Linked DNA regions of Oryctolagus cuniculus. The protein of the gene in region 1 purifies or fractionates together with the protein of each later gene. This does not show direct contact. Links are inferred from orthologs where the notes say so. Each region holds a gene or a part of one and is shown on either strand. Other genes may lie near its edges.

Region 1 (4,475 bases):
CTTGAAAGACTCAATACTTTAAATGACTGTGTGTTACTTACACTTTAATACGGAACAATTCCAGATTCTTCTATGAAGGTAAGTTTTGATGAAGGGTAAAGTAGATAAAAAAAAACACAAAGGAACATAGAGCAGAAACAGGATATGATGAGGAGATGGGATATGATGAGGGTTCAGAAAATGGCAGAATGGACAGGGTTAAAACATACATTCCGCTATACAATTTTCTCAAGAACTGGCTTGGCAGGTGAGAAAAGTTCTTTAAATAGGGAACAATAAGCATCATTTCTGATGGGCAATGTAAAGGCAGGACATATTAGAAGGATTCTATAAAGCCAGTAAGGACAAATTAAAGTAACAGGGTAGTAGTATGAAATGCTCTAGCTATGGGGTGGCTTTGGGGCACAGCAGGTTAAGCTGCACTTGGAACACCTGCATCCCATATCAGAGTCCCCCATTCAAGCTCTGCTATTCAATTTCTTACCCAACTTCCTGCTACTGTATCCTGAGAGGCAGAAGATGACGGCCCAAGTGCTTGGGGGCTCTGCCACCCAGGTGGGAGGCCAGGATGGAGTTCCAGGCTCCAGGCAGCCTGGCCTAGCTCTGCCTGTTATGTGCATTTGGGGGAGTAAACCAGCAGATCAATTTCTTTTTCTCTGTTGCTCTGTCAAGCAGAGGAAAATAAACAGACATTAAAGACATAGGAGGGGAGGGGAGAAGAGAGGAAGAAATGCCCTAGCCATACACTCAACTCCGATTTAGAAGAAAACCAATTTCAAGTCTAGAGAAACTTGGAAGCTTCTCAGATCCCTTTAGAAAGAGAGATACAAGGGGCCTCTTAGGAAAATCATTCTCATTTTCCAGGATAAGGAATGGATGGTTAAGTGATGTGAATATGCAGAGACCATGAACCAGAAGACAGAAGTCTTAAATTCTTCACTTTCAGACATGCCAATAATTATCCTAGACAAAATGGTCTGATTCACCTTAATGTTTCTTTCTTGCCGATAAAACAGAAAAAAATTTTCTCCCTCTACCTGAACATTTCTTAGGGTCTCTAGTGCACAACTGGGATGTGTGTGTGTACTGCAGGAAACAAACGATAACCTAAAACACACCCCTCCCTTGGTTGTCTGAATTTGGTGGAAAATAAAATGGCCAGTGAAAGAATAACAGACTAACACCGAAAAGGTAAAGAAATGACAGATGACAGTCTGATAACACAAAAACAGAATTGCTTTTGATGGCACATCCCCCAGTTAGATCAGTCTGGTCTCGACCTCCCTGAGTCAAACAGGAGGTATGTGAAGGAGGACTTGCACTGTGTACTTCTGTACAGCACAAGTAAAAGTACTTAAAAACATGTGGATATTTTGTAACTCAGGAATGCATTGATAAAATACATCAGTATAGAAGGGAAAAAGGAGGAAGTACAGCCAGGGAAAATCAAATAGGCTCCCATTTATCAGGGACTAGGTCAGCAGACCATTAAAAATGGAGAGAACAGGATTCCAATCCTCTGCCTTCTTTTTTCTCTATTCCTCCATTCCTCAAATACCTGATGGTTCGACTCAACTTCCTAATAGCACAGAAACCTGGGCTCCTGAGGAAGTGGACAAAGAACAAGGTGGTGATGCCAACCTTCTGCAATGGAATTTCTCCTTCTCCAAATCTCTTCCTCACTGGTATCACCTCTTAATTCCAGGCCTGGTTAACTTCAGTACCTGACCAGGAACGCCCCAAGTCTAAGTCCCACAAAAGTTTCCACCAACTACCCTCAGACTATCTCTTGATGGCCAGGGATCCCTAAGTTCCTTTCTGGGTAAATAATGAGATCATTGCCCATTTCTAGGCTGAAGACCACATTATTAAGTGGGAAAGAACTGAACAAAACATCGCCAAGTTACCAACTTCTTTCGCCAGACAGGAATCCGTGGTAGGGAAGAGAAGAACTGCAGTCTAAGACCAGACCCAGAGAGAAAGTGCAGGGGCTGAACCAGGAGCAGTCAACAGTCATGGGGAAAAAAGTAAACTCACTTCTTTCTCCGTTCCCTACCCTGGGACTATCAAAAACCTTCCCACTGCCCCAGCGAGACGCTAAGGGGAACAAAAGAACGGGTTCTCCCGAGGCTCAGCGTCCAGCCCACCCTGCAGCACAGCCCCAGAAGCCCCGGCAAGGGACACCAGGCCCTGCTTCCGTGCCCTCAACTACCTCAGTCTTCCAGACGAGCAGAGCTGCCCTCGTCTCCCTGAACAGAAATCCTCTCGGCTTCACATCACAGCACCCCCAGTCTCTTCACGGCAGCCACTTCCCCTCAAAAAGAATGCCTCTTAGCCAACCTAAGAGCCCTTCTCGGGCCCTCCCAGTTAAGACAGCCCTCCAAGAGACCCGGCCCCGGCTACCCCCGGGGCCCGGGCGTCAGCTCTGACCCCTTCTCACCGCCAGGCAAATGGGCTTACCTCACCCGCTGCCCCGTCCCTTTCCCCAGCTCCTCCCTCTCCATGAGTAATGAGGCCTTCCCCTACCCTCGCACGGCCTCCGGCTCCCGGCCGCCGGGATCCAGCCGCCTCCCCAACTTCAGCCTCCCAGCCCGCCCGGTCCCCTCCTCAGCGCCCCCACTAGGCCTGCCGGGGCCCGGCCCCCTTCTCCCCTCTCCACTGGGCCACTCTCTAACCCCTCGCCTAGGCCCAGACCCGACTGCGCTCTCAGGCCAGGCCGCTCTCATCTCCCGGCGCCTCTGCCTCTGCCCTTGTGGGCTCCATCAGCTCGGTACCTGGGGCTCCGTCTCCCCCGTCGGGCCCAAGCCTGTGTCGAACAGACAAACAGCTGCAACTCAACCAAACCTCCTGCCCCTCCTCCTCCTCCTCGCCCTGGGGCGGGGGCCCCAGCCAATAGCATGATTACCCGCCTACCATCGAGGGTGGGCTGTATGTGCACTCATCCGCCAATCCTCTGGAGAAAGGCGGGACTCTTGGGGTGTTGTCGCCAACGAGTACGAGCAAGGGACTGGACAGGCAGGGTCATAAGCCAATACAGGGAGAGAAACCTGGAAGACGGACGAGGTGATGGGCCGTTAAAGAGCGAGCTCCCGGAGACAGGGGGCGGTACGTCGTTGATAGACGTGCGTACCAGCCAATAAAACCTCGACACCCCATGACCCCCGCCTTTTGACTCATAAACATCTAATCAGGTGAGTGATGGAGGCGGGTCCAAGTGAGACTTTAGCCAGTGCTGCGGAAATTCGGGACTTGACTGGCAGGCAAGGCGGGGTTGAAGGAAGCCTGAGGGAGGCCGTTACTGACCTTCGCTCCTCCCCCTGGATTTGGCGGGGGCTGACTCGGGGCCCCGCCCTCTATGACAAATTCGCGGGCGTAAAGGGAAATACCTCTGAGGGGACCCGGCGCCTGGGAATTTGAGAGACGCGCCTCAGCGCTCTTCCTTTTAGCGAGGGTTCAGAGGACGTGCGTTTTCGGCGTGGCCTGCGGGCGATCTGAGATGTTTTTTTGATGGAGACAATGGCAACTACAAAAAGCAGTAGCTGGAGACGCCGTGGTAGTAATTTTCTATACTCAGTGGGTATTTTTTGAATTGTATGTAAATGTGAATAAGATAATCTTCAGAAACTCTGCCGTGTGTGATAAGCAACAGAAAGGAAAATCAACGCGGCTTACTGGGAAAGGCGGTGTACAGGTGGATGGATTCTTCTGGAACCTACTTCCAACCCTACTGCAGATTCTGGAATGGTCGCTGTGTGTGTGGGGGTGGTGGGGTGGGGGGAGGTAGGACTTGCTGTGTGGGGAAAGTGAAGGAGGAAATGACAGGGCCTCAGCTTCCCTGGCTGTAAAATGGGTCTAATACCCACGTTACTCACCCTGGGTCCTATCCCAATTCCAAGTGCATCTTAGAGACCAAAACAGAGTGAGAGGGTATCCCTGCCTAGAGAGGCCTAAAACCAGTCACCACAATTTCGCCTGCCTGGTCTCTCTCACACCATTCTTCCCGTGAATAATAGGAGGAACAAAATAACTACAAAACTAGGAACTTTTTTTTTTTAATGAATTACAAACTAAATTACAAATAACGTTAATAGTAAGGGCACTCAAGTTCAAGAGGTGGAAGAAAAAGAGCCAGAATGATAAAAAAAGGAAAACATTTTTAACATTTCCATTACAAAACCCCAAGGTGCACATGGCAAAAAATCCACCCGCTCCTGTTTAAAAACCATAACCTGAAATATAAATATAATTGTTCATCCTTCTTTTAAAGAAATATATTTTCCCAATGTCATCCCTGGAAGTGTCAGCATTCTCAAAAGGATGTCTAAACCCTAACTTCCTCTCCTAGGGGGCAGGGGTGGCCCTCAGAAAAGACAGGAGCAGGGATCCATGGTAGCTGAACAACTAAGAATCCCGAGGGCAGAGAAAAATCCAAACTCTCTCACCTGCCTCTAAGGCCGTGGAGAATGGATGGGAGG
Region 2 (4,366 bases), on another chromosome or scaffold:
CTCCAGATTCAGGCTTTCAACGTGAGCGGTGAGCAGTTCTCCTACGCCAGCGACTGTGCCGGCTTCTTCTCTCCGGGCATCTGGATGGGGCTGCTCACCTCCCTTTTCATGCTCTTCATCTTCACCTACGGCCTGCACATGATCCTCAGCCTCAAGACCATGGATCGCTTTGATGACCACAAGGGCCCTGCCATCTCTCTGACCCAGATCGTGTGACCCCGTGCCAGGGGGGAGGGGTTGTGGTTGTGATGGTGTCCAGGTTGTCATTTTCCCACCTTATGGTACATGGCACCCAAGGACCCCCTCTTGCTACCATAGCATGAACCCCCAGCTCCCCTCAGCCTGTCTCACTCCCTCATCAGCCTGCGGAGGGGCTTCCCCGAGGCTTCTCCCAGCCCTCCTGACAAGGTGTAGATATTCTGCATAGATTTTAGGCCTGTCTCCCGGGTCAGCCATGGGAAAGCACAGGGGCATTAGTTCTAGGGTCCCCTTTCTCCTCCCCTTATTTATTCTTCTCTATCTACCATAAGCTCTGGCTGTACATAGCGCTTTTGTGTAGCAAGTTCTCCCTCCCCCAGCTTTATGGGGCTCCCTACAGCAGCCAAGAGCTTCAGGTTGCCCGAGGTTGGCAGAATGTGGAAGTGACCACTTCTGTGTCCCGCTTGGCTGTCGTTGTTGTATCCTGGTGATGTTGTGTTAACAATCAACACTGTGCTGGGGTTTATTTCTGTGACTTCAGGAGGAAGGAACCTCCATGACAGGTGGGCTGGGCGTGACCACTGTGTTTCAGGAGCGCCTGGCAGGAGCCTGGCATGCTCCATTGTCTCCTTCCTAATAAAATAAAGATGGGTCGCCACACGTTGGGCCTCTTGTCATTCGTTTCTGGACTAGAAATGAGGAAAGCGTTGGACTGAGGGATGGGAGGAGGGCAGGAGGGCGGGCGGGTGCGGGGAGGGGGGGAGGTGGCCCTAGATGTATCCCAGCCAGGCCAAAATCCAGGAGCCAGGGCCCGCCAGGGACTCTTTTAGCAAACTGGGCCCCTAACCGGTTAAGGTAGGGAAGGAGTGGTCGGGACAGCGGTCGCCGCGACAATGGCAGCTTCAGCGTCGTGAGGGGGCCGCCCCCGGCTGCTGCAGCAGCGCGTGCCCGGCCCGCGGGGCCGCGCGGAGCCTCCCGGGGGGCGGGGCGGGGCGGGGCGCGCGCGGCTCCCGCGCACGGATCCCTCTCGGACCGCAGTACCGGTCATCGGACCGCCCCGCCTAGCTTCCTCTGGGTCCTTGGCAAACGGCGACGCCGGCAGAGCCGCACTGGTGCTAGGGCCCGAGTACCGGCAACCCTCTTAGGAGGCAAGCCAGGGAAGCGGTGATCACTGCTAGGCGTGGTGGGGCCTGGGGAAGTGTTGGGACTTTTTGACGCGGCGGAGGGGTCAGGCGGCGTTCGAAGTGCCGCCATCTTTGGTCCAGTGCGGCGGCGGCGGCGGCGGCGGCTGCTGCTGTGGTGAAACGGGAGGAGGAGCCGAGCGGGCGCTGGTACCAAGGCCTGACCATGGACGAGGAATACGATGTGATCGTGCTGGGGACCGGCCTCACCGTAAGTGTGGCCTCGGGCGCCTGCGCCTCCGCTTCGTGCCTTCCCGAATCCCTGCGATGATGCAGCCGCTGGCCGCCAAACCCATCCTCCCATCATTCCTATCCTCTGCCCTTGGGTCCCCGAAACGCCAGCCCCGTACCCACCCCACTGCCTTCTCTTTCCCCACTCCCCAGCCCCCTTGGCCTCGCGACGTCTTCTCTGCTCGCTGCCATGACCTCGAAGCGGGGTCTCCTGGCTGCTCCCTTGACTCCCTGGTGCCGACTCCCGGCCTCTCCCATCTTCCCTACCCTGCCCTGCTGGGCCGGAAAACGTATCCCCCACTCGGCCTGATGCCCCCCAGTCCCTCCCATCCAGTCCCCACCCATCGCCCCCACCCATCACCTTCCTAGTATTGTGCCCCCCCAACTTATACTAATCTTAGTAGGGGTGAAGTACGAGGACCTGGGGTTAGGGGGCCTTGCCAGGTTGGGGCCTCGTCCTGTGTTCCTGGCTGCTTCTGGGATCAGAAGAGCCAGGGAATGTTCCAGAATAACTAACAGCGAGGGCAGTGACCACATTCCCGCTCCCCCACCCTGGTTTCCCATGGAGACCTGAGGCTGAGCAATATCTGCAGCCTTTGTCCTTGGGCTGGTGACAGTGACTAGGGAGAATGTTCATCGTCCCCCTTCCCCCACAGCGTGTTCACCCGCTCCCCTGAGAGACACATTTCCCTCAGGCCAGGCCCAGATGCCCCTCCTGAGCCCAGGTGGGGAAGGCTTAGGGTCAGGGGCTCCTGGCCTTTGACGACGGAGCAGCCGAGGGTGGGGCCTGAGAGTCCAAGTGCCTTTCTTCACTTCCCTTTTGGGCGCCCTCTGCGGCCTGGCCAGGTCCGCTGTGTGCCTCATTGTGTCTTATCTGCCGGATTGTGCGGCTCTGCACTGATAGAGGACTTTCTTGGCAGTCGGTGCCATGAGACTGTCCTTGTGTCTGCTGGACACTCTGTCTCCCCCGACTCCTTCATTATTTCTCTCTGGTTCACCTCTGCTTAGCAGGGTAAAAAAGGAGACGGGCGGATGTAGCCATCGCCACCAGTGTTAGGCAAGGCGGCGGCGGCGGAGGCTGGGGGCGTGGAAGGAGCTGTCCATTGTGGCAGGCTTGGGGAGGAGAACAGATCAGGGCTGCTGGTGCGAAGTGGGCAGGTGGGAGCGCACCGGCTGTCCTCACACCCCTAGGAGTGCATCCTGTCTGGTATCATGTCTGTGAACGGGAAGAAGGTGCTGCACATGGACCGGAACCCCTACTATGGGGGCGAGAGCTCCTCCATCACTCCCCTGGAAGAGGTAAGGCTGCCAGCCTGGCCCAGGCCGGGCCCTTGGAAACCTCTCACTGGAGCCATAGTGTAGCAGCAGCGGGTGGCAGGGAGAGGGAGGGCCAGTCCTTGAGGTGTCTCTCTCTCTCCCCCTCCTGCTTACAGTTATATAAGCGTTTTCAGCTGCTGGAGGGGCCCCCTGAGTCGATGGGCCGGGGCCGAGACTGGAACGTTGACCTGATCCCCAAATTCCTCATGGCCAATGGTGAGGGAGATGGAGGAGCTGCTGCGGTTTTCCTAGGGGCGCGGTGGTGACTGGGAAGGACCGGAGGGGGTTGGGCTCCAGACAAGGGCCCGCCAGGCTGGCCAGAGCTCCTGCAGGGAGCTGTGCTGATGTTGTCCCCACCACAGGGCAGCTGGTAAAGATGCTCCTGTATACGGAGGTGACTCGCTACCTGGACTTCAAGGTGGTGGAGGGCAGCTTTGTCTACAAAGGCGGCAAGATCTACAAAGTGCCATCCACTGAGACCGAGGCCTTGGCTTCCAGTGAGTGTGGGTCTCCCGACCTCAGGGCGGGTGGCAAGGTAGACACCGGGAGCCGGCCACTGTACGCCCGAGGCTGCATCCCCTGTGAGGTAGCAGATGGCCCTTGCTCTGTTCCTGCTGCTGCCATGTGCCTCACCTCACAGCGGCTTGCTAGCAGGGCGATCCGCGTGCAGAGAGGAGTGGAGGGTGCTCCTTTTCGGAAGCCTGTGACAGGGGCTCCGCTTGAGCCCTGGAACATCTCTAAGTGTCGGAGCCAAGAGGGCCTTCAGAGTGTGCCCGGCCCAACCCCCTCTTCACATGGGTGGGGAAACCGAGGCCGAGACAGGTAGATTACGCTAAGGTCATGTGACAGACCTCACTGGGAGCCGGGATGCCAGCTTTCTCGGCCAGCCCACGGGGGTGGGGTTGGGGGGGGGCGGGAAGGAGAATTTTGTATTCTAGTGCAAAGGGTCCCCCCTTGCCGCCTTCTTCAGATCTGATGGGCATGTTTGAGAAACGGCGCTTCCGCAAGTTCCTGGTGTTTGTGGCAAACTTTGATGAGAATGACCCCAAGACCTTTGAGGGCGTCGATCCCCAGACTACCAGCATGCGTGACGTATACCGGAAGTTTGACCTGGGCCAGGATGTCATTGATTTCACTGGCCACGCGCTGGCACTCTACCGCACTGATGAGTGAGGGGAAGCTGGTGTGGCGCGGTCCCCTTGCCTGGCCTTTACCCTGCCTCCCCAACACCTGCCCACTGCTCCCTCTGCCTACCCTGCACATTTCTCGTACTCAGCCATAGGCTCCCCTGTTGCCTGTCCGCCCCTCCCCTGCACTTGACCCCCCGGCTCCCCTGGGCCATTCGGGGTGGTGGGGTGAGCCAGGGAGCCTGTTGGAGCATCTTCCCTGACCTCTGTCCCCCCAGCTACCTGGACCAGCCCTGTCTGGAGACCATTAAC

Evidence for each region.
Region 2: the proteins of RAB5B (region 1) and GDI1 purify together in Homo sapiens (affinity purification with mass spectrometry; 3 studies listed by BioGRID and IntAct, counting the BioPlex papers as one, with this or other methods). This does not show direct contact. The link is inferred for Oryctolagus cuniculus from reciprocal best matches to the Homo sapiens genes RAB5B and GDI1.

What each region holds. Positions count from the first base shown.
Region 1 is NC_091442.1:58,763,101-58,767,575, reverse strand, and holds the start of RAB5B (ras-related protein Rab-5B), read right to left. Parts: upstream 2,914-4,475; 5' UTR 2,900-2,913; coding exon 2,775-2,899; exon of another isoform or gene 2,676-2,774; intron 2,612-2,675; exon of another isoform or gene 2,527-2,611; intron 2,309-2,526; exon of another isoform or gene 2,213-2,308; intron 660-2,212; exon of another isoform or gene 485-659; intron 1-484. UniProt on the Homo sapiens protein: The small GTPases Rab are key regulators of intracellular membrane trafficking, from the formation of transport vesicles to their fusion with membranes.
Region 2 is NC_091453.1:132,666,597-132,670,962, forward strand, and holds the start of GDI1 (rab GDP dissociation inhibitor alpha), read left to right. Parts: upstream 1-1,545; coding exon 1,546-1,590; intron 1,591-2,801; coding exon 2,802-2,909; intron 2,910-3,043; coding exon 3,044-3,143; intron 3,144-3,289; coding exon 3,290-3,424; intron 3,425-3,897; coding exon 3,898-4,096; intron 4,097-4,332; coding exon 4,333-4,366. UniProt on the Homo sapiens protein: Regulates the GDP/GTP exchange reaction of most Rab proteins by inhibiting the dissociation of GDP from them, and the subsequent binding of GTP to them. Promotes the dissociation of GDP-bound Rab proteins from the membrane and inhibits their activation.